Cricetulus griseus: one gene and its partners. The protein of the gene in region 5 interacts with the protein of the main gene of each other region in a pairwise test. Links are inferred from orthologs where the notes say so. Each region holds a gene or a part of one and is shown on either strand. Other genes may lie near its edges. The genes, in order: Ddi1, Stxbp4, Sertad1, Stam2 and Klhl42.

Region 1 (2,893 bases), on a different chromosome or scaffold from region 5:
TTATGACTGCTTCCCTATAACCCAGTTAATGTTTCCCGTTATGCATTCAATCAACATTCCTAATATAAGAAAAAAAAGCATATGGCAATGTTGAGATAATTAGAGCAAGAAGTGATAGTCTTTCAACTGAAACACAAGAGAAACAGAAATAAAAAAAAATTCTTTAAGCTGATGCAATAGCCTCTGTATTGTGGAACACAGCTGAAAATTCCTAAATAGGGGTGAGGTTGTGCATGGCACAAGACTGTGACCACCTTTGGTTCATAAGTAGACACCTGGGAGGGAGGGTCCAGGGACCTGTGAACTCTTTACAGCACAGAACAGTTTCAGGGAAGAAAATTGAGTTCACAAGAGTTCTACCCAATCATCCTTGACTTCAGAGTCTCTACTTTGAGGTTGGTACTTGTTTGGGTGGTGGGGGCCGCTGTGTCTCAAGGTCAGAGAGAGGCATATTTATCTTCTGGATTGCCATGTACTTTACTATAGAATCAGTGTCAAACTGGGTTCCTCAGAGGAACCACACATTCCTGTTCTTCCTTTCTCCTTTGTCTCTGAATTTGTCTGAAATGACTAACCTTTTCTCACCCAGAAAAATATTCCTCCTTCTGCATTCAGGTTGTCACTTCTATAGCAGATACAGCCTCTGTATACTGTCAGAGGTGCTGAAGACATCCACCTCAGGTCACGATCTACTCATCTACCTTCAATGGCAAGCACCTATGTCTCCTACTAAGAATATATCATGGTTCTTGTCATGTCCAAGTCACAACCGCACTGTCTCAGAGATAAGAATAAGTATGTGAAATACAGGCCTATAGTTAACAGGCTGAATATTGGCATGGTTAAGAGAATTTAGATGTTCTGCGTGGCTAGTATTAAGTAGAATTTGAAGACCAGCCTTGGAAACCACTGGCCTTGAGTAACAATTTCTATGGAAACAGATGTTCTAAGTTCCAAGCAGTACATACCACATGGACTTGTTACCTTGAGGCTCAATGGGGCCATCGGCTGGCACTGGGGCTGGGAGGCAGCCTCCATTCTGGTCACTGCCTTTGCCTTTCTGAGAGTTGAATGAGTTTCATAACAAGGTGTAAGGGGCAGGCCAGACATCAACCCAAACCAGCACCAGTCAGCCAGTGATCCACCAGATGTTTTCTGCCAACGTGGCTTTCCTGAGTGTGTACCATGCTGATAACTGTGTACTGTGTGCGTAGGGACCTCACAGAGGCAACCTTTTCCCTCCAGGTCAGCCCTGACTTTGAGCTCTGCAACTTCAGAGTCCTCTGTGAGCTTGAGTCTGGTGTACCTGCTGAGGAGATTCAGTTCGTCTACATGGAACAACTCCTCACAGATGACCATTGTTCCCTGGGCACCTACGGCCTCAAAGATGGTGATATGGTTGTACTACTTCAGAAGGACAATGTGGGACTTCGGACTCCAGGAAGGACCCCAAACCAGCCTCGAGCAGATTTCACCGGGTCAGCCATACCTGGAACATCAAGTACCCGTCACCATCATCATCAGCGTCAGCAACGTATACCATCAACACAAGCGCACGGATTGGCCTCGGGAGAGAATATGGCCTATGCTCGGGATCTCAATAGCCCTGCTCTGATTCGCAGCATGCTGCTTTCCAACCCTCATGATCTGTCCCTGTTGAAGGAACGGAATCCCGCTTTGGCTGAAGCTCTGCTTAGTGGAAGCCTCGAGACATTTTCTCAGGTCCTGATGGAACAGCAGAGGGAAAGGGCATTGAGAGAGCAAGAGATGGTTCGTCTTTATTCTGCAGACCCATTTGATCAGGAAGCTCAGGCTAGAATAGAAGAAGAAATCAGACAACAGAATATTGAAGAAAATATGAACATAGCTATGGAAGAGGCTCCAGAGAGTTTTGGACAAGTGGCTATGCTCTATATTAACTGCAAAGTGAACGGGCACCCTTTAAAGGCTTTCGTTGACTCGGGTGCTCAGATGACTATCATGAGCCAAGCATGTGCTGAGAGATGTAACATCATGAGACTGGTGGACCAGCGATGGGCCGGGGTTGCTAAGGGAGTGGGCACACAGAGGATTGTGGGCCGAGTTCATCTGGCTCAGATTCAGATTGAAGGTGATTTCTTACAGTGCTCTTTCTCCATACTGGAAGAGCAGCCGATGGATATCCTTCTAGGGCTTGATATGCTCAGGAGGCATCAGTGTTCCATCGACCTAAAGAAAAATGTGCTGGTCATTGGCACCACCGGCACACAAACACACTTCCTTCCTGAGGGAGAGTTGCCCTTGTGTGCCAGACTGGTGAGTGGAACTGTGCAAGAAGACTCTTCGGATAAGGAAGTACCAGGCAATATCATCAAACATCCAGTCAAGGGTCCAGGACGAAAACAGCATTGAATCAGGTTGTATATAAGCCACTGCCACGAGGGAGCAAGCCATAGGTCCCAGAAAAGTATAAGACATGAGCTCAATGGCAATGTCATCATTAAAAACATCTTAGCAACCAGCCTGGCCTTGTGACTGAGTTCACAAATGGGTGACTATGTAAGTCATCACTGACTCATGGCAGTGTGTGTATGTGGGTCCATTCCTTCACTCCAGATGACTGAACCTCATCCAGGGGAAGGGCTGGAGATCCAAGTTGGTTTCCCAACATCTATTAAAGGGAAAACAAGTATTTCCTGTCAGATTACAGGGAGGGCATGTCCAAACCAAGGGCTGTTTATTTTGCATAAGTTCCTAAAAAAAAAGCCATTCTTTCAGACTACAAATATACATGTAAACAAAAGGATTTTATATTAGCAAGAGCAATGGTTTTGTATTATCCCTGCCCTCGCCTCGTGTGTGTGTGTGTGTGTGTGTGTGTGTGTGTGTGTGTGTGTGTGTTTAAGTGCCCACA
Region 2 (4,221 bases), on a different chromosome or scaffold from region 5:
TGGCTGTGTTGTGTCCTTGTAATCAATACTCATGTATGTATTAAGTATACAGTTCCAGAATAGCATGTCTACTGTCTTCTAAAATGGTACAGAGATCTTTAAGATTAGGGAAAGGAGGTGAAGGATAAGTGGAAATTTTATTATGTCTGCAATGATTACGTAACTTTTGAAATAATTTCAAAGTAAATTTTGGAAATTGAAATATTTTAATTACACACTTTAATAAACACGAACTGTCATTTTATATTATCATATAGGGATTGGATTGTTGCCTATTTTATTTTATTAAGAGATATCTAGGGGCTGGAGAGATGGCTCAGAAGTTAAGAGTACTGACTGTTCTTTCAGAGGTCCTGAGTTCAATTACCAGCTACCACATGGTGGCTCACAACTATCTATAATGAGATATGGTGCCCTCTTCTGTTGTGCAAGCATATATGGAGACAAAATGTTGTATACATAACAAATAAATAAATCTTTAAAAAAAAAAGAGAAATCTAGAAAGACCTAGTTCACTTTACTGCAATCAAAATGGCTGTACATCAGATATTCATTTTCAATTAATAAATGAAAGCATTCATGACTACAACTGTAATAATGACATACTTACACAACTGTTTTGAATAATCTGGAGAAAAAAATACCTGGAAGTGGGGGGAGGGAGTTGAAGGATATATACTGTTAGCTTCAAGCACATTAATGTTAGCATAGGATTTAAAAAAAATTTACAAGTATATTGCCTGCATGTATGTATGTGGAGCACCTGAAGAGACTAGAAAAGGGTAGCAGGGCCTCTGGAGCTGGAGTCAAAGCTCTGAGTCCCCAAATAAAGGCTGGGAACTGAACCCAGGTCTGCCTACAAGAAAAGCAAATGCTTTTAATTTCCATCTGAGCCCCCCCTAGTATGGAATTTGAGTCTCTGTTGTCAGAAAATTAAAATGAGAGATTTTATCCTGAATATCTGACAATCTGGCATAAGAATCAAGGTACATACAGAGGGAAAGGGTGATCAAACAGTGCCATAACAAAACTGAAGCAAGTTTGTGGAGTAAGAGTTTTGTAGTTTGTGTAACAATGCACCCGAGTGCTGTACTAGACAGTGACTCAGATCTTATGAGCTCTGCAATTTTGAAGCCCGGTGGCCACTGATGAGCTACTTATTCAAGGTCTCCATCTCCTCTTAGACTACCACTCCAGTTGCCTCTTTCCTTCTCATCATGTGACTAGCACCTTTGTCTTCCTTCAGTGTGAAGAAACTCAGATGGAACCACTCCTGTGTTCCTAAGTAAGCTTCCCTTAGACATGGTTTAAATGACTTTATCAGGTCTTTGTGTACCTGCTGTGACCCCATTTCCTTTCCCGTCAGCTCTGCTCATTATGCAAGATTCACACTGACCCTGTGTTTTGTTTTTTCTAATCCTACCCAACCCATTCCTGCCTCTGGACTTGTGTATGACCTGAAACTGTTGTTTTGTGGGTAGCTCTTTTTCAGGGTTCAGGAATAGGCTCAAATGTCACCTCTAGGAAGACCTTATTTTACCTCTTAGAGAAAGACATAACCTCAGTATCTCTCATTGTCACTCTCAATTACTTCATGCCACCAGCTATTTTGATGGCAGACACTGTTATCTGAAATCTCCTTATTTAAAGGTTTATTTTCTGAGTCCTTCAGTAGACAGGGCAATGAATAACAAAGGTGATTATGCCTGATTTATTTTTGGATGGCGCCCCAGGCAATTAAAAAAGTGCAAGGAATAAATGTTAACAGTTCTTTAGGGTTTCAGGTTTCTAACCCACAAAGCGGAGATAATTAGACCCACTCTAGCCATTAGAAATTAGACCTAACTTTTATGAAATTCTTACTATGCCTGAAGCAGTGGGGAAATCACTTTATATGTTCATCCTCGTAAACTACCTTGATTTCCAGTCACGAAATAACACCAGCGGGTTACAGGGAAGTTATAAATAACATAAAATAAAACAAAATAAAATAAAAGGAAGGACAAGACCTTAGGAAATTTATCAGTGCTTAACCTCAGAATCTGCTCTTAGCTGCTATTTTATAACTGTCTTTGTTTGTTCTATTAGAAAACTGAAGAAAGCTATTGCATATATCCCGCGGGGGGAGGGGGGGTGACTCTGCCTGCAGGATGCATAGATGCATAGCCTTATTCTTTTCAGCCCCTCCTTTAAGGGCCCTCATATCTTGGTCCTTCTGTTCTGAACAAACTGCAATTTGCGAGCGGTTCTCTGACTTGATTTTTGGCTGGGTAAACAGCAAAGAGCTATCAGCGCAGTGGAAAACTTCTGCCCGCGGGCTGAGGAGATGCAGACGCCCAGTGCTGGAGAGGGATGCGGTGTGCACAGTAAGCAGTCATCAAAGAGGGAAGTTTGTCTGAGCTCAGGTCCGAGACAGAATCCACAGGGCTAGTAAACTCCAAGTGGAAGCCCCGCGGGAGAGCCGCCGCTGGGAGCCGCTGAGACAAAGGCTGGTGGAGTTTGGGGTGTAAGAGGGGTGTAAGTGTTACAGCACAATCCCCAGGGAGGAGCTTGTCTGCAGAGGGCCCAGATGCACTTTCCACAAAGTAAATCAAAGAAGTATGAGAGGGAAACAAAGTGCAAGCAAGGCACAGCCACCTAGCAAAAAAACAAAACAAAAAAACGCGAACTTACCCTCTTCTGGCCACCCGGCCTCCGTAGCTCGGCGGCTACCTGAGGAATCTGGTAGTCAAGGCAGCGGCGGGGCTCAACCCGCGCGTGCGCGCGTACGCGGGACACGCGAGGCATCGCGAGATTCCGCTGAGCGGGCCCTGGTTCCGGGGGGTTATGGGAGGGTTTTGGTGCCGGGGATGGAGGTCGGTCGCTCTGTGCGGCCGCTGCTGGAGGCCGCCTGCGTGGCCGGGCCGGAGCGTGGAGAGTGCCGAGCGCGGACTGAGGCGGCTCGGGACATGGAAGCGCCCGAGCGGGGCCCGGGGTCCCGCCGCGCAGCCGCCCCGGCGGCCGGCGAGCAGCAACCCTTTCCAGCGCGCGCAGGAGGACGAGTGGCGGCGGCGGAACAAGACGGTGCTCACCTACGTGGCCGCGGCCGCCGTGGGCATGCTGGGGGCCTCCTACGCCGCCGTGCCCCTCTATCGGCTCTACTGCCAGGTAGGGAGGGACCGGGTGCGGGCCGGATGCCGCCGGCGCCCTGCGGGGCCTCTGCCTGGGAGACGGAGGTCAGCCCAGAAAGCTGCCCGCGGAAGGCCGGGTCGGCAACGATGGGGCTTGCACGGGGAGGAAGGAGCGTCCTGCCGTGCTGTGCAGCGCAGGCTACTCCCCGGCACTTAGTGAGTGCAGCAGGTTCCCGGGACACCCCGCCCCTCCAAAATAAAAATTAAAAATAAAACAAAACAAGGATCGTCCACCCTGAAATGCCAGTCGCACTGAGACCGACAGAAAGGACGTCATTGAGACTCCGGAGCGTGTCTGTGCACATGCTTTCCTCGGGCTGTGTTAACGTTAGGTTTTTAAAATGTCATCTTAGGATCAAGTTCCGTCTTAGAATCAAGTTCCATGTTTAGCACACTGGCCATGCAATCACCAGGTGTTAGAGCAAGAAATGAGGAAGTTAAATATAGGAAGACGTGGAACGCAGCGGTCCCTTTGGATGAGCAAATTGAAATACAACCCATCGAAACCTATTATCGCATCGAACTTGAGAAACTTTAATATAACACGTGCCCCAAGAATGAATGAATGAATGAATAAATAAATAAATAAATAAATATGGAGAATGAATATATATATGGAGTTTATATTTGAAGAACACTTAAATTGCTTTTTATCCAACCGACTTAAATTCTTTAGGAAAACGGTTCATCTTAAAACTCAGTCTCCTATCAGAATGATATACTTAACCTGTTAAATAAGGTCAAATACTTGCTCTCGATTTACCTTTTAGGATGAAAGTGTAGTTTTGACAATGTCGAGGGAAATTGAATGAAGCTAAGTAACTTGTGTAATGAGAGAAAGATGTCGATACAGTAGCTTTTTTTAGAGTCTTCCATTAGCCTCACGCTTGGCTTTTCGTTTAGGAAAGGTAAAATTATGTGAAAATCAGACTTCCGTTAACCTCAAGCAGCAGAAGGATGTCTTGGAAGTAGCATCACCCCCACATCTGATAAGGAAATAATAGCGGTGAAGAAATGTCAGATAAAAATTCCTGGTGCTTTATGGTAGTTG
Region 3 (4,233 bases), on a different chromosome or scaffold from region 5:
GGAGCTTGAGCACCGAGAGGTCAAAGAGAGAACTGGAAGCCACGGGCGGGGGGGTCTGTGCGGCTGCTGGGTGGCCTTGATCTAACCACCAGGAGTCCACCGAGAGGCCTTCCTCCTCCTTCTTCTCCTCCTCCTCCCGTTTTCGCTTTAGACCCTTGCTCAGCATTGTCTGCAGGGAGGAAGGAGCCATTCAGTTAGGGAAAGTCAATATTCAGGTCACACCCAGCTCTGACAACTGCTGTCAGCGTGAGCTTCACAAGGCAACTAACCTCCCAGTCCAGGTTTTCTAAGCAAATTCTTCCTCATTTTTAATGAGACAGGATCACACAACTCAGGCTGGCCTCGAGTTTATGATCATCTCTTACCCACAGCCCCCGTGCTGGGACTACAGGTGTATGCCACCACGCTTGGTATACTGGATGCTGGGGATGGAACTCAGGGCTTCCTGCATGTAAAGCAAACATTCCACCAACTGAGCCTGCTCAGTAAAGTTCTAAGAAACAGCTAACATCTACATTGTAAGTTGCTATATGGATTAGATTAACAAAAGAATAAAAAGCCCTTGCATCATGGTCTTTAGAACTTTCAAATTTTACTTTTATTTTATTTTTATTTTCTGGTTTTTCAAGACAAGGTTTCTCTGTATTGCTTTGGAGCCTGTCCTGGAACTCACTCTGTAGACCAGGCTGGCCTTGAACTCAGAGATCCGCCTGCCTCTGCCTCCCGAGTGCTGGGATTAAAGGCATGAGCTACAAATGCCTGGCTAATTTTACTTTTATTTTAAATTTTGTGGTGTGTGTGTGTGTATATGCACGAGAGTGTAGATGCCCAAGGAAGCCACCTGTTGGAGTCCCTGGAGCTGGAGTTACAGCAATTATAAGCCATTCCATTTGGGTGCTGGGAATCTCTTGCGTCCTCTGTAGCAATAGCAAGCTCTTTTTTTGGGGGGGTGGGGTGCAGTTTTGAGACAGGGTTTCTCTGTGGCTTTGGAGGCTGTCCTGGAACTAGCAATAGCAAGCTCTTAACAACCATAACTAGTATTTATTTGTAAGTACTTTTTGGTTTTGCTCTTTTTTATTATTTATTTATTTATTTATTTTGGTTTTTCGAGACAGGGCTTCTCTGTAGCTTTGGAGCCGGTCCTGGAACTCACTCTATAGATCAGGCTGGCCTCAAAACTCTAGAGATCTGCCTGCCTCTGCCTCCTGAGTGCTGGGATTAAAGATGTGTGGCAGTGCCTGGATGGTTTTGCTCCAGGTTTTGTGACAGGGCCTCACACTGTAGTTAGTCCAGGCTGGCTGGCTATCCCAGGCAGTCCTTCTGCCCCAGCCTCCCAAGGGTTAGGATTACAGGTAGGTGCCGCCTCTTGGCTGGAAATGCAGCCTACTTGTACAGTTCAAGGCATAGAATGTCTGCTTGGCATCAAACATTATTTAATCCAATAGAGGGAATGCACAGATAGCGATAGGAGGTACTTTGGGCAGTTTCTGTAAAGGAGATACTTCGGATCTGATGTAGGCAGTGTAGACGACAGCTATGGAGAACCAGGGGCCGGGCATTCCCGGAAGAGCCAATGGAAGACCGAGAGAGGCAAATCTTAACCGGGGAAGGGAAAAAAAAGAAAAAAGAAAAAAGAAAACCCACACAAGGAGCAAGCGCACAGAGTGACACGGTAGGAGTCCCGGTGGGGGTGGGGAGCAGGCGGGGGGGGGGGAGGCGGCTTGGATTTTCAGAGTGACAGGACAGAGTCCTCCGGGGAGGCAGGAGGGTCGAGCAGGGGGCCGAAGGCGACGTTTCGCTGACGCCGGGGGCGGGCGGGCGGGCTGCCGGTGGGGCAGCATCGGGGAGAGAGAGGGTGAGCGGGGTGGGGGCGGCCGGGGCACTGACGGCTGGAGTTTGGGGGAGCCCGAGCTGCTAAGCACAAGGAAGCGGCGGCCCCTGGAGTTAGCGGGGAGAGCCGGGGGGCCGCGGGGCTCGGCCACTGAGTACCCAAGTTTGGAGAAATCCACACTTCCTTCCATGCGGCGAGGAGACCGGAGTCTGGGACCCCGGAGTGGCATCTCGGGGGGCGGGGGGGGGGACACAAAGGATCGGGGGGGAAGGGGGGGAGGCTCAGCCCTGGGGACGCTGCCTAGACAGCCCCAACAAGACCCCGGAGTCTTGGCTCGCCCTTCCCGCTCGCCCTTTGCGCGCAGACCCTCGGCAGGCAACCGCAGGAATTCAGCCCCCGCCTCGACTCCGCCCCCGGGCGCAGGCGCCCCCTAGCGGCAGCCCGGCCAGGGCTTCCCCGGGGACTCCGGCCCCTCAGACCCGGGGCCCCGGCGAGCCGCGACCCCCGCGGGCCGCCCAGAGCCTTCCCTGGCTTCCGGAAGGCGGCAGCGCAGCAGCGGCGGCAGCGGCGGCGCGGCGGCGGCGGGGCGGGTGAGTCACGCAGCCGGAGCCAGGGAGCCTGCGCCTCCGCCCCCTTCTCCGGCTCCGGCGTGATTCACTCAGTCCGGCCCGGACGGGCGTCACGTTCAGGCCCCGGGCGCCCGCCCGGATCCCGGACAACCCCGGCGAACATCTCCCCAACCGGGGGATCGAACACGCTAAAAACACCTCGGGCCGTCGGTACTCCCACCCTCCCCCGCCTCTCTCCTCCCACCCCCCCACCACCACCGGGCCCCCTCATTTACATACCCAGATCACTCGCGGCCAATCAGAACGAAGAGGGAGCCACACGCAGCCAATCAGGAAGCGGCAGCAGGCGCATCGCTCGGCTCGCCCGGCTCCCGCAACCGCCGGCGCCCGGGACGGGAGACGCTGCTCTGACTCCGGCGCACGACTCCGGCCACTCCACAATCCTTAGTTCCCGCCCACTCGCGTGGCGGCCCCGCCCTCCCGCCCAGGGCTCGGCTCTCATTGGTGGGGGTGGGCGGAGCCTGCGGGGGGGCCGTCCCCAAGGGAGGGGAGGCGGTCCTTAAAGCGCATGCCCGGGAGCTCTCCCGGAGCCCTGAAACTAGTAGCGATTTCTCCTTACTGGGCGGGGTGACAGGTAGGGGCTTCGGAGGTTTTTTAAGGCTCAGGCGGATCACTTTGTGAGCTTGGAGAGAGGGATGAGTTCTGGGAGAGGGACGCGGTTTATTAAATCGACCTTCCTCTTGAGAGCTACCGTGTTAAGAGTGTTGTCTCCAGCCGGGCTCCGCTCTAATTAAAGACGGGAGTAAGGTGGACATGGAATAATGGCATGAGGGTCACATCCTGGACATCAGTGCCTCCGGAGTAGCGGCGTGACTTTGGACAACAGGCTAAAGCCCTCAAAATCTGTTTCCTTTCGGAGTGTGGTTGTTCACAAACCATAATCCCAGCGTGGGAAGACTGAAGCAGGGGCATTGCTGGGAGTTTGAAGCCAGACTGAGTTCCAGGCCAGCCTGGGCTTCAGAGTGAGATCCTGTCTCAAAAGAAGAAAGGGCGAAATTTTTTGTTTGTTTGTTTTGTATTTTTCTGAGACAGTTTCACCAAGTTGCTCAACTTAGCCTGGAATACAAAGCAATCATCTTTCCTCAGCCCCTCAAGTAACTGGAATTAGGGGATTTTTTTTTTTATTTTATTTTTTTGAGACAGGGTTTCTCTGAGTAGCCCTGGCTGTCCTGGAACTCCCTCTGTACACCAGGCTGGCCTCGAGCTCACAGAGATTCACTTGCCTCTGCCTCAGAGTGCTGGGATTAAAGCCCTAAGCTCCACAGCTGGCCTTTAACTAGTCTTAAAGATGCCAGGGGAGATGCAGTTCAGCGAAAGAGTGCTTGCCTAGCATTCCGTCATGTTAAACACCTGTGTTTGATTACAGCACTGAAGAAAAAAAAAAAAAAAGCCTGATGATTTACTAAGAGTAGAGTAGAATGTTTAGGTGCTTATTGGTTAAAAGCACTTGCTCAGGGCTGGAGAGACGGCTCAGAGGTTAAGAGCACTGGCTGCTCTTCCTGGAGACTGGGTTCAATTTCCAGCATCCAGCTCACAACTGTCTGTTCCTCCAGCTGCAGGGGATCTGACACCCTCGCACAGACGTACATGGAAGCAATGCAACAATGCACATAAAATAAAAATAAATAAATTATTAGAAGCACTTGCTCTCAAAGAGGACCAGGTTCAGTTCCTAGCACTCACGTAGCAGCTCACAGCTGTCCTTCACTCTAGTTCCAGGGGGTCTGGGATCCTCTTTGGTGCCTAGGCCCCAGGCACACATATGATGCACAG
Region 4 (3,513 bases), on a different chromosome or scaffold from region 5:
GTCAATCACTGCTGTAAGAAAGTAACACGCCCACCTCATACTTCACACCATGATGGTTTCTATCACATCAGATTATGAAGAGTCTCCTGACTCAACTTCACAGATGATCCCTAAGAAGGCAGGAAGGAAAGCTAAAGGACAGTGCCTTCATTAGACAAGGCCAATGTCACCTGAAAAGGTCAACAGTGGCAATTCAAAATACAAGAGACAGAATGCCTTTCCTCGGGGAAGGCTAACATTGTGTGAGGCATTCCTAGGCCCACTGCTATCACAGGACTGGCTAACTGCTTCACCACATTTGCATTTACATGGCTTTCACTGTTAATAACAGAAAATACTTTTGTTCTTTCCAAATTGCTCTTGCTTCTGTACACAATTATATGCTAATTATTACTCAGCATAACACTAGGAGCAAAACTGACAGTACTGCAAACACAACTGTAATTTAAGGAGCCAAAAGGAATACACTGGCAATCTTAAGGCTTACACTAAAAGATGTTCATCTTTTAAAATAATAGGGTGGGAAAAATTTGAAAAAAAATGCAGACAAAAATGCTTAAATGTCTTCAGTGCTCCTCAAAAATCACATCCTAGAGGAAACAATGGTTTCCTTAAAGGAACACTCTGATACTCCTATCTTATACCATTGTAGTGTTATAAGGCTGCTCATCGAGGGCCAGAAAGTACAAAACTAACTGAAACATTTTCAAGGGGCCTCTGATCAAAAGATGAGCTTCGCGAGAACTGGACTGAGAAACAACCCTTTTATGGCCTTCAGGGTAGGTGGGGTTTTGTGCTTTATTATTCATGGTTCTTTTTGATTGAGAAGGGAGTTTGAATATTTCAGATCAGAACCCCCGGGGTTGAGTGACAGGCCTACAAGGACTTCCAACAGCCCTGGCATGTCTAAAGGAGAGGCTGCTGGTGGTAACTTGGTGGCTGTGCAGCTGGAGGTGCAGGAACTGCCACTGGAAAGCCAGCCAGCTGTGGCAAACTGGACGCTGTGTTCTGGTAAGAAGACACACCCGCTGACATCCCCATGGGCTGTGTGTAAGCAGCTGGACCAGCAGCTGACTGAAGATGAGAGCTCTGGTTCATGTAGGAAGGGTTGGAAACCGTGTCCTGTGTAGTGCTGCAAAAGAAATTTTACAAAGAAAATCACATTTACCTTGAGTTATGGCAACAGATCATCAAGACAAACATGTTTTTTCCATCTTTTCAAGCTTATGTAGTCATCAGATACTGTTAACATAATTTTGTTTATTTGGTTTTTGAGACAGGGTTTCTCTGTGTAGCAGTCCTGGAACTTGCTCTGTAGACCAGGCTGGCCTGGAACTCACAGAAATCCAGAAATCTCTTGCCTCCAGAGTTCTGGGACTAAAAGGTGTGTGCCACCCCTGCCTGGAATGACTTTTTTACTCTGAAGAGCAGGGCTGGAGAGCTGATGCAGGGTGCAGAGGACCTGAACTGGAGCCTCAGCTAACCTGGGTCAGGGAGTCAGAGACAGGCATCCCTGCCTAGCAGTCTAGCCAGAACTGAGTGCTCTGCTCCTGATTCAGTGAGAGACTGCATCAAAAAATAAATAAGTGGATGGTGCTCGAGGGATGGCTCAGCAGTTAAGAACACTGGTTGCTCTTCCAGATGACCCAGCTTAATCCCCAGCACTCACATGGCAGTTCACAACCATCTGTGCCTCAAGTTCCTAGAGATCGGATATTGTTTTGGCCTTGGAAAGTGTCAGGCACACAAATGGTGCACAGACACGCATGCAGACAGAACAACCAGGCACACACAATTTAATATAAATAAACAAATGGTGGAGATGAGAATGAAGAAGGCACCCTAACTTCTGGCCTCCATACATGCCTACATGGGCAGCAAACTAGCAAGGTAAATGTACCCACATAAACACACCTACACCACATACACAAAGAAAAAAGAAAGGAGAGGGAAGGGGTGGCAGGCACTAGATCAGGTGAAAAAGTGGCAAGACAAATTCCTAAACAGCCCAAGTAGATGGGAGAGGAGGATAAGGCTTTCTAACAAAGTGAAGAAACTCAATGAAGACAGAGAAGGTCCAGCCACGAGTGGAAGAAATCAGACAAAAAGAAAGCTGTTCTTTCACCTGAGATGACATTGAACACTGATGTATTTGTATGTATGTATGTATGTATGTGTGTGTGTGTGTGTGTGTGTGTGTGTGTGTGTGTGTGTGTGTATGTATGTATGTATGTATGTATGTAATTAACCAAAATATATTTTTGGTTTTTTGAGACAGGGTTTCTGTGTATAGCTTTGGAGCCTGTCCTGGAACTAGCTCTTGTAGACCAGGCTGGTCTCGAACTTACAGAGATCCACCTCCCTCTGCCTCCCAAGTGCTGGGATTAAGGGTTATGCCACCACCACCTGGCCTTATTTATTTATATTTATATTTAAGGGCAGGGTCTCACTTTGTAGCCTTGGCTATCCTGGAACTCACTCTGTAGACCAGGCTGTCCTTGTACTCAAAGAAATCTGCTTGCCTTTGTATCCGAAGTACTAAGACTTACATTTTTTTATTTAAACCTTGAGGCTCTGTGCAATAATTACAACAAAGTGTTGTTATCTTGGATTCTCCTGTACACTATAGAAAACTTTTTTTAAAAAAATCAGAAAATAGGAATGGTCACCAGGCGGTGGTGGCACATGCCTTTAATCCCAGTACTCAGGAGGCAGAGGCAGGTAGATCTCTGTGAGTTCAAGGCCAGTCTCATCTATAAGAGCTAGTTCCAGGACAGCTAAGTTTACAAAGAGAAACCCTGTCTCAAAAAACCAAACAAACAAACAAACAAAAAGAAAAGACAAAAAAGGAGTGCTCAGAAAAAAATATTAACAAAATGCAAGATTACAAGGCTTGCTGGGCGTTGGTGGCACACACCTTTAATCCCAGCACTCGGGAGGCAGAGCAGGTGGATCTCTGTGAGTTCGAGGCCAGCCTGGTCTCCAGAGAGTGCCAGGATAGGCTCCAAAGCTACACAGAGAAACCCTGTCTTGAACCCCCCCCCCCAAAAAAAAGATTACAAGGCTTACTTAACTGGCTTTAACCACTCTCTCAAAGCTGTTTTTGTCTGTGATGCCTATGGCCAGCATCAGAGAGCAGAGCCCTGTTCAAAATGAACCATTGCACCTCCATACCCCTAAGCTTTTCTTTGAGAAGAACTCAGCACTTTCAAAGAGATAAGAGTGTACTCTACATAACAGAGCACCCTGCACAACAGAGTACCCTGAATAATAGTGTACCCTGCATAACAGTGTACCCTGAATAATAGTGTACTCTGTATAACAGTGTACCCTGAATAATAGTGTACCCTGCATAACAGTATACCCTGAATAATAGTGTACCCTGCATAACAGTGTACCCTGAATAATAGTATACCCTGCATAACAGTGTACCCTGAATAATAGTGTACCCTGCATAACAGTGTACCTGAATAACAGTGTACCCTGCACAACAGCATACCTGAATAAAAGTGT
Region 5 (4,290 bases):
CCATGTTACAGTAGGTCGGATGGAAGCCCACCAACCCCTAGTAATACCTCTGGAAGGGAGAGTGGGTGGCACATTCATCTCTGCTTCTTATAATTCAGCTTTCCAGGGCTTTCTAGGATTTACTTTTTATCTTTATTTGGTGCCTATATGTGTATGTATGCATGTATGTGGGTGCCTGTTAGCTACAGATGCCCTGGAGATGCAGCTACAGGTTATAGCACCCAGTGTGGGAGCTGGGAAACTGAACACCACGTCTTATGAAAGAGCACCAAGTGCTCTCAGCCTCTGAGCCATCAGGACAAGGTATGTTCCTGCAAATAACCCCTAACCTAAGTGTCTCTTGTCCTGCGTTGGACCGGGCAGTTCCAGTTCAGATTTCTTCCTTCTAGTTTCCAGTCATTTCAAGGCAAAGACCACAGTGGGATCTGGGTGGCAGCAGGTGGCCTGGTAGAGAGGGCCTGTCCTGTCGTAGCTACCCTCCCCACCATTTCTGGGGCACTGGTGATTGAATGGAGGCCTCATGAGTTCTAGGCAAGCGCTCTCACACTGAGATATGGTTTTCCCACTCTCCTATGTTTTGCTTGTTATCCAGGCTGGCCTGGAACTCACCTGCAACCTAGAAAGGCCCTTACCTTGGAACCTGCTCGCTTCAGCAGTCTAAGCAGCTGGGGCAACAGGCCTGTAAGACTGAGACAACCTGGGACGACTGTCTGGACTCCCTTTCTCTTCCTGTGTCTGCTTTTTTTTTTTTTTTTTTTATCTTGCTTTCATTTTCTTTTTCTCCAGGCTCCTTTCCTTACTTCTCCTCCCACCCTGACCTCCAAGCTCCTCCATTTCTTCTCTGAGCCACCCATGGTCAAGGTAAGAGGGCTCCACAGGAAGGGAATGAGTGAGGGAGAAAGGAATGAATGCACCTGGCCCTTTGAGTCCACAGGTTCATAGATTCAAACAGTAAGCAGGGGAAGTGTGTATATTGACAACACTGACAAGGTAGATACATTACATTTGAAGCTGTAAGGAACATAGAGATTATTTATTGTAGAAAGCCAGACTCGTTAGTGCACACCTTTAATCCCAGCACTCCAAAGGCTAGAAGGCAGGAGGATCACTTGAGCCTAGCGAGCTCAGGAGTTCAAGACCAGCCTGAGGAAAGAACACACCAAGATAAAGGAAAACCAAGGAACATAAGCAGGGGGGTACATGTATGCTTCATGCTAATAGCTGCAGGATGCTCAGGCAGACAAGAGACTCGAGGGGCAAGGGCATGCCGATTCTGTAGTTGATCCTGCTCTGGGCTCAAGTTTTGGGTCAAAGATGATTGCTGTCTAGGGAGGAAATAAACAAAAAGAAGGGAGAAGGAAGGGGAAAAAAAGAAGTGAATCCCTTTGTGGCGCGTATTAATATCATCATCCTAGGGACGGCGGATTCCTACCCAGGTGCAGAAGGATGCAAAGTCACTGGCAGCGACAACCAAAGTTCCTGAAGCCAGAGTGTTAGATACTGCTGCCAAAGAGGCATTATAATTCGGATCAGACCAGGGAAGGAAAGAGAAGGAAAAAACAGCAGTCATCTTCTGTAATATCCACTTCAAACACACCGAGACAGAGAAACCTGAGGCCCGCACCTGGAAGAAGGTCACTGGGCGGGCCGACTTCCTGCTGGCAGGCCCCGGGCTCCCCGGGAACTCTGCCAGGACAATGAATGGAGGGCTCAGGCCCTGCCGACAGACACTTACCGTTTCTGGTTCATGGAGGCCACCTGCAGCCACTCGTTGGTGGTGGGGTTGTAGGAGTGTGCGGCCGAGATCTCCTGGCTGGTGATCCTGTACCCGCCCACGATGAAGAGGTAATTGTCCAAGACGGCTGAGCCGTAGCCTCTGACGTTCACCAGGTCGGGGGGCAGGTTGTTGGCCAGCGGGAACCAGCGTTCCGTGGTCTCCTCGTACCTAAGCATGGACGGGGGTTCCCCCTGATACGGGTGCGGGGCCAGGGGTCCCCCGAGGAAATCCCCCAGGGCCACCAGAACCGGGGTCCCGCGCATGCGGGCCTCCCTCAGCCTCTGCTTCAGGCTGCAGTCCCCCGGGGCCTGCGGCGGCGACAGCAGGAGCGGGAACTGCGGCTGGCACAGCACCTGGTGGAAGCGCAGCGCCATAAAGCGCAGGCAGGCATCCTGCAGGTCGGGCAGCCCGTACACCTGAGCCAGGCGGTACAGCTCCAAGCAGTTGCCCAGACGCACATGCGACAGCAGCAGGCGCAGCAGCGCCGTGACCTGCAGGAAGGACGCGGCCTCCACCAGCTCGGCCAGCACCTCGTCCTCGCCCAGGCCCCAGCCCTCGCGCGCGCCGCCCGCGTTGATGAAGTCGAGCACCAGCCGCAGGCCCGGCGCGCTCAGGCCGCGCAGCTGCTGCACCTCCGGGCCAGCCTCGGGCCGCACGGCCTCGCGCATGCCGGAGCGGTAGAGCGCGCGGAAGTAGTCGCTCTGCTCGATCAGCTTGCTCTTGCTCACCGGGTAGCAGCGGCCTTCCAGGCTGATCTGCACCACCTCCTCGGCGGACATGGCTGGGCCGCTGGGCCGCTGCGCCCGCCGCCCGCCGCCCGGCCGCGCAGGCTCCTCCCCCGGGCTCACACCCTCCGCCGAGCCGGGCCTGCGCCCGCGCTTCCTTCCGCCGCCGCGGGCCCCCGGCTCAGCGCCGCCGGCACGTCATGCGCCCTCCGAGTAAATGGCCTCTCTGTGTCTTTTATCGACGTGTCCGTGTGGGTGCGTGCGCGTCAGCGCGGGTGTCAGGAGGCCAAAGGCGTCACACGACCCTGCAGCCCGAGGCACTGGCGGTTGTGAGCCGCCCTACGCAGGAACAGGAACCGAACTCCCGACCTCCGCAGCAGCAGTGTGCACACTTAACCACTGCGTGTCCCTCCAGCACGGTCTTTTTGTAATTGATCAGGAAACAAAGAAACAAACGCGCCGGTTCGCCATGCCCTCTCCCTATGCACAAATCATTGTAGCGTTTCCTGCAGCAGCTCAGGCAGCTGTCCCTGCTCAGTTTTCTAGGACCAGTCAGTCAGCACTGCTAGGTTTGCACTGTGACCGGCCTGGCCTGGTGGTCCAAGAATAATACACTGAGGGATTACTGGAGCTAAGGAGTTTTAGAGGTGTTGTTAACTCCATGGACAAGACAGACAGACACAGACAGACGGGCAATGGCATAGTCGGGCCTCCAAGGAGAGTTCAGAGCTCAGCACCAGAAGCAGCAAGTAGGGTCTCTGGAGAGAACCAGAGGCCAAGAGAGCACCCGAAGGGGCAGGGGCGGGTGGATGGAGAGGGCACTGAGGTGCATTAGGCCTGTCACCTCCAGGTAGAAGTCTGACCTGGGCAGCACCTGTCACTCAACACCTTGCCCGTCTCCCCTGGAGGCTCACTTGGTTAGAAGACTGATTCCTAAGGGCTCGCTGTGGTGAAGTGGTAGTGTTTGCAGGCAAGGTGGCCCGCATTGAATTCCCCAGCATAACTGTGTCAGTCCGTGGGCTGCTCCACAGAGAGGGGGCTTTCAGCCTTTGTGTTCTGCAGAATACAAACAAGGATAAGGCACAAGAAAGTACAGAAAACATTCTAGTAGAGTCCAGCCTTGCTGGGGCAAAGGGCCACTCACACACACACACACACACACACACACACACACACACACACACACAGACCCCGGACTTGTTATACTTTGTTACTTTCTTGGATTCTCTGAGAAACTGGAGACATTGCACTGTATGATTGACAGGCCTTGAATCATTCCTGGATGGCTTCCATGGGTTATCTGTCTGTCACTCTCAGTGTTTGGGGTGTGAGGAAGGTGCAGGTGCGGGGCCAAGGATTTAGCAGTCTCTATGGCAAGGCAGAGTGCCATGTCTAGGATTAGATGTTAGGCTGGGGGCTGCTGGGAGGCATGACGTCAAAGAGGCTGGACCTGATCTGTCTGTACCTCCTTTAGCCACGAGGCAGGGATCAACGGGTCACCAGAAGGACAGGCTCTTAGTCTCCAGCTCTTTAGAACCTTTACCAATGGGAGCTTTTGTTTCCAGATCACAGATACGCCTTCACCTGGTATTCTCTTGCCTTTTAAAGACAAACCAAAAAAGCCACCCTTAGAGGCTGATTCTCATTAGAAAGGCAATTCAGCCATGGTCACTTTACCACGGCAAGTCAGCTGGGACTGGAATCTGGAGTGTTCCCTGACAACACCGGGCACCGATCCCGCAAGGTAGGTTGTTGGCCCTGGACAACACAATGACATTGTTAGAAACT

Evidence for each region.
Region 1: the proteins of Klhl42 (region 5) and Ddi1 interact in binary tests that used the Homo sapiens proteins (3 or more experiments, as listed by UniProt). The two-hybrid records come from large-scale screens. The link is inferred for Cricetulus griseus from reciprocal best matches to the Homo sapiens genes KLHL42 and DDI1.
Region 2: the proteins of Klhl42 (region 5) and Stxbp4 interact in a two-hybrid assay, tested with the Homo sapiens proteins (2 studies listed by BioGRID and IntAct). The two-hybrid records come from large-scale screens. The link is inferred for Cricetulus griseus from reciprocal best matches to the Homo sapiens genes KLHL42 and STXBP4.
Region 3: the proteins of Klhl42 (region 5) and Sertad1 interact in binary tests that used the Homo sapiens proteins (3 or more experiments, as listed by UniProt). The two-hybrid records come from large-scale screens. The link is inferred for Cricetulus griseus from reciprocal best matches to the Homo sapiens genes KLHL42 and SERTAD1.
Region 4: the proteins of Klhl42 (region 5) and Stam2 interact in binary tests that used the Homo sapiens proteins (3 or more experiments, as listed by UniProt). The two-hybrid records come from large-scale screens. The link is inferred for Cricetulus griseus from reciprocal best matches to the Homo sapiens genes KLHL42 and STAM2.

What each region holds. Positions count from the first base shown.
Region 1 is NC_048597.1:120,942,985-120,945,877, reverse strand, and holds Ddi1 (protein DDI1 homolog 1), read left to right. Parts: upstream 1-1,185; coding exon 1,186-2,391; downstream 2,392-2,893. UniProt on the Homo sapiens protein: Probable aspartic protease. Seems to act as a proteasomal shuttle which links the proteasome and replication fork proteins like RTF2. Required, with DDI2, for cellular survival following replication stress.
Region 2 is NC_048600.1:103,739,743-103,743,963, forward strand, and holds the start of Stxbp4 (syntaxin-binding protein 4), read right to left. Parts: upstream 2,808-4,221; 5' UTR 2,674-2,807; intron 1-2,673. Other genes in the region: cytochrome c oxidase assembly protein COX11, mitochondrial, read left to right, coding at 2,827-3,147. UniProt on the Homo sapiens protein: Plays a role in the translocation of transport vesicles from the cytoplasm to the plasma membrane. Inhibits the translocation of SLC2A4 from intracellular vesicles to the plasma membrane by STX4A binding and preventing the interaction between STX4A and VAMP2.
Region 3 is NC_048602.1:8,436,098-8,440,330, forward strand, and holds the start of Sertad1 (SERTA domain-containing protein 1), read right to left. Parts: upstream 2,814-4,233; 5' UTR 2,680-2,813; intron 2,085-2,679; exon of another isoform or gene 1,990-2,084; intron 656-1,989; exon of another isoform or gene 270-655; intron 170-269; 5' UTR 167-169; coding exon 1-166. UniProt on the Homo sapiens protein: Acts at E2F-responsive promoters as coregulator to integrate signals provided by PHD- and/or bromodomain-containing transcription factors. Stimulates E2F1/TFDP1 transcriptional activity.
Region 4 is NC_048599.1:121,658,781-121,662,293, reverse strand, and holds part of Stam2 (signal transducing adapter molecule 2), read right to left. Parts: intron 1,133-3,513; coding exon 907-1,132; coding exon of another isoform or gene 806-906; 3' UTR 1-805.
Region 5 is NC_048601.1:2,620,148-2,624,437, forward strand, and holds the start of Klhl42 (kelch-like protein 42), read right to left. Parts: upstream 2,801-4,290; 5' UTR 2,557-2,800; coding exon 1,736-2,556; intron 862-1,735; exon of another isoform or gene 781-861; intron 1-780. UniProt on the Homo sapiens protein: Substrate-specific adapter of a BCR (BTB-CUL3-RBX1) E3 ubiquitin-protein ligase complex required for mitotic progression and cytokinesis. The BCR(KLHL42) E3 ubiquitin ligase complex mediates the ubiquitination and subsequent degradation of KATNA1.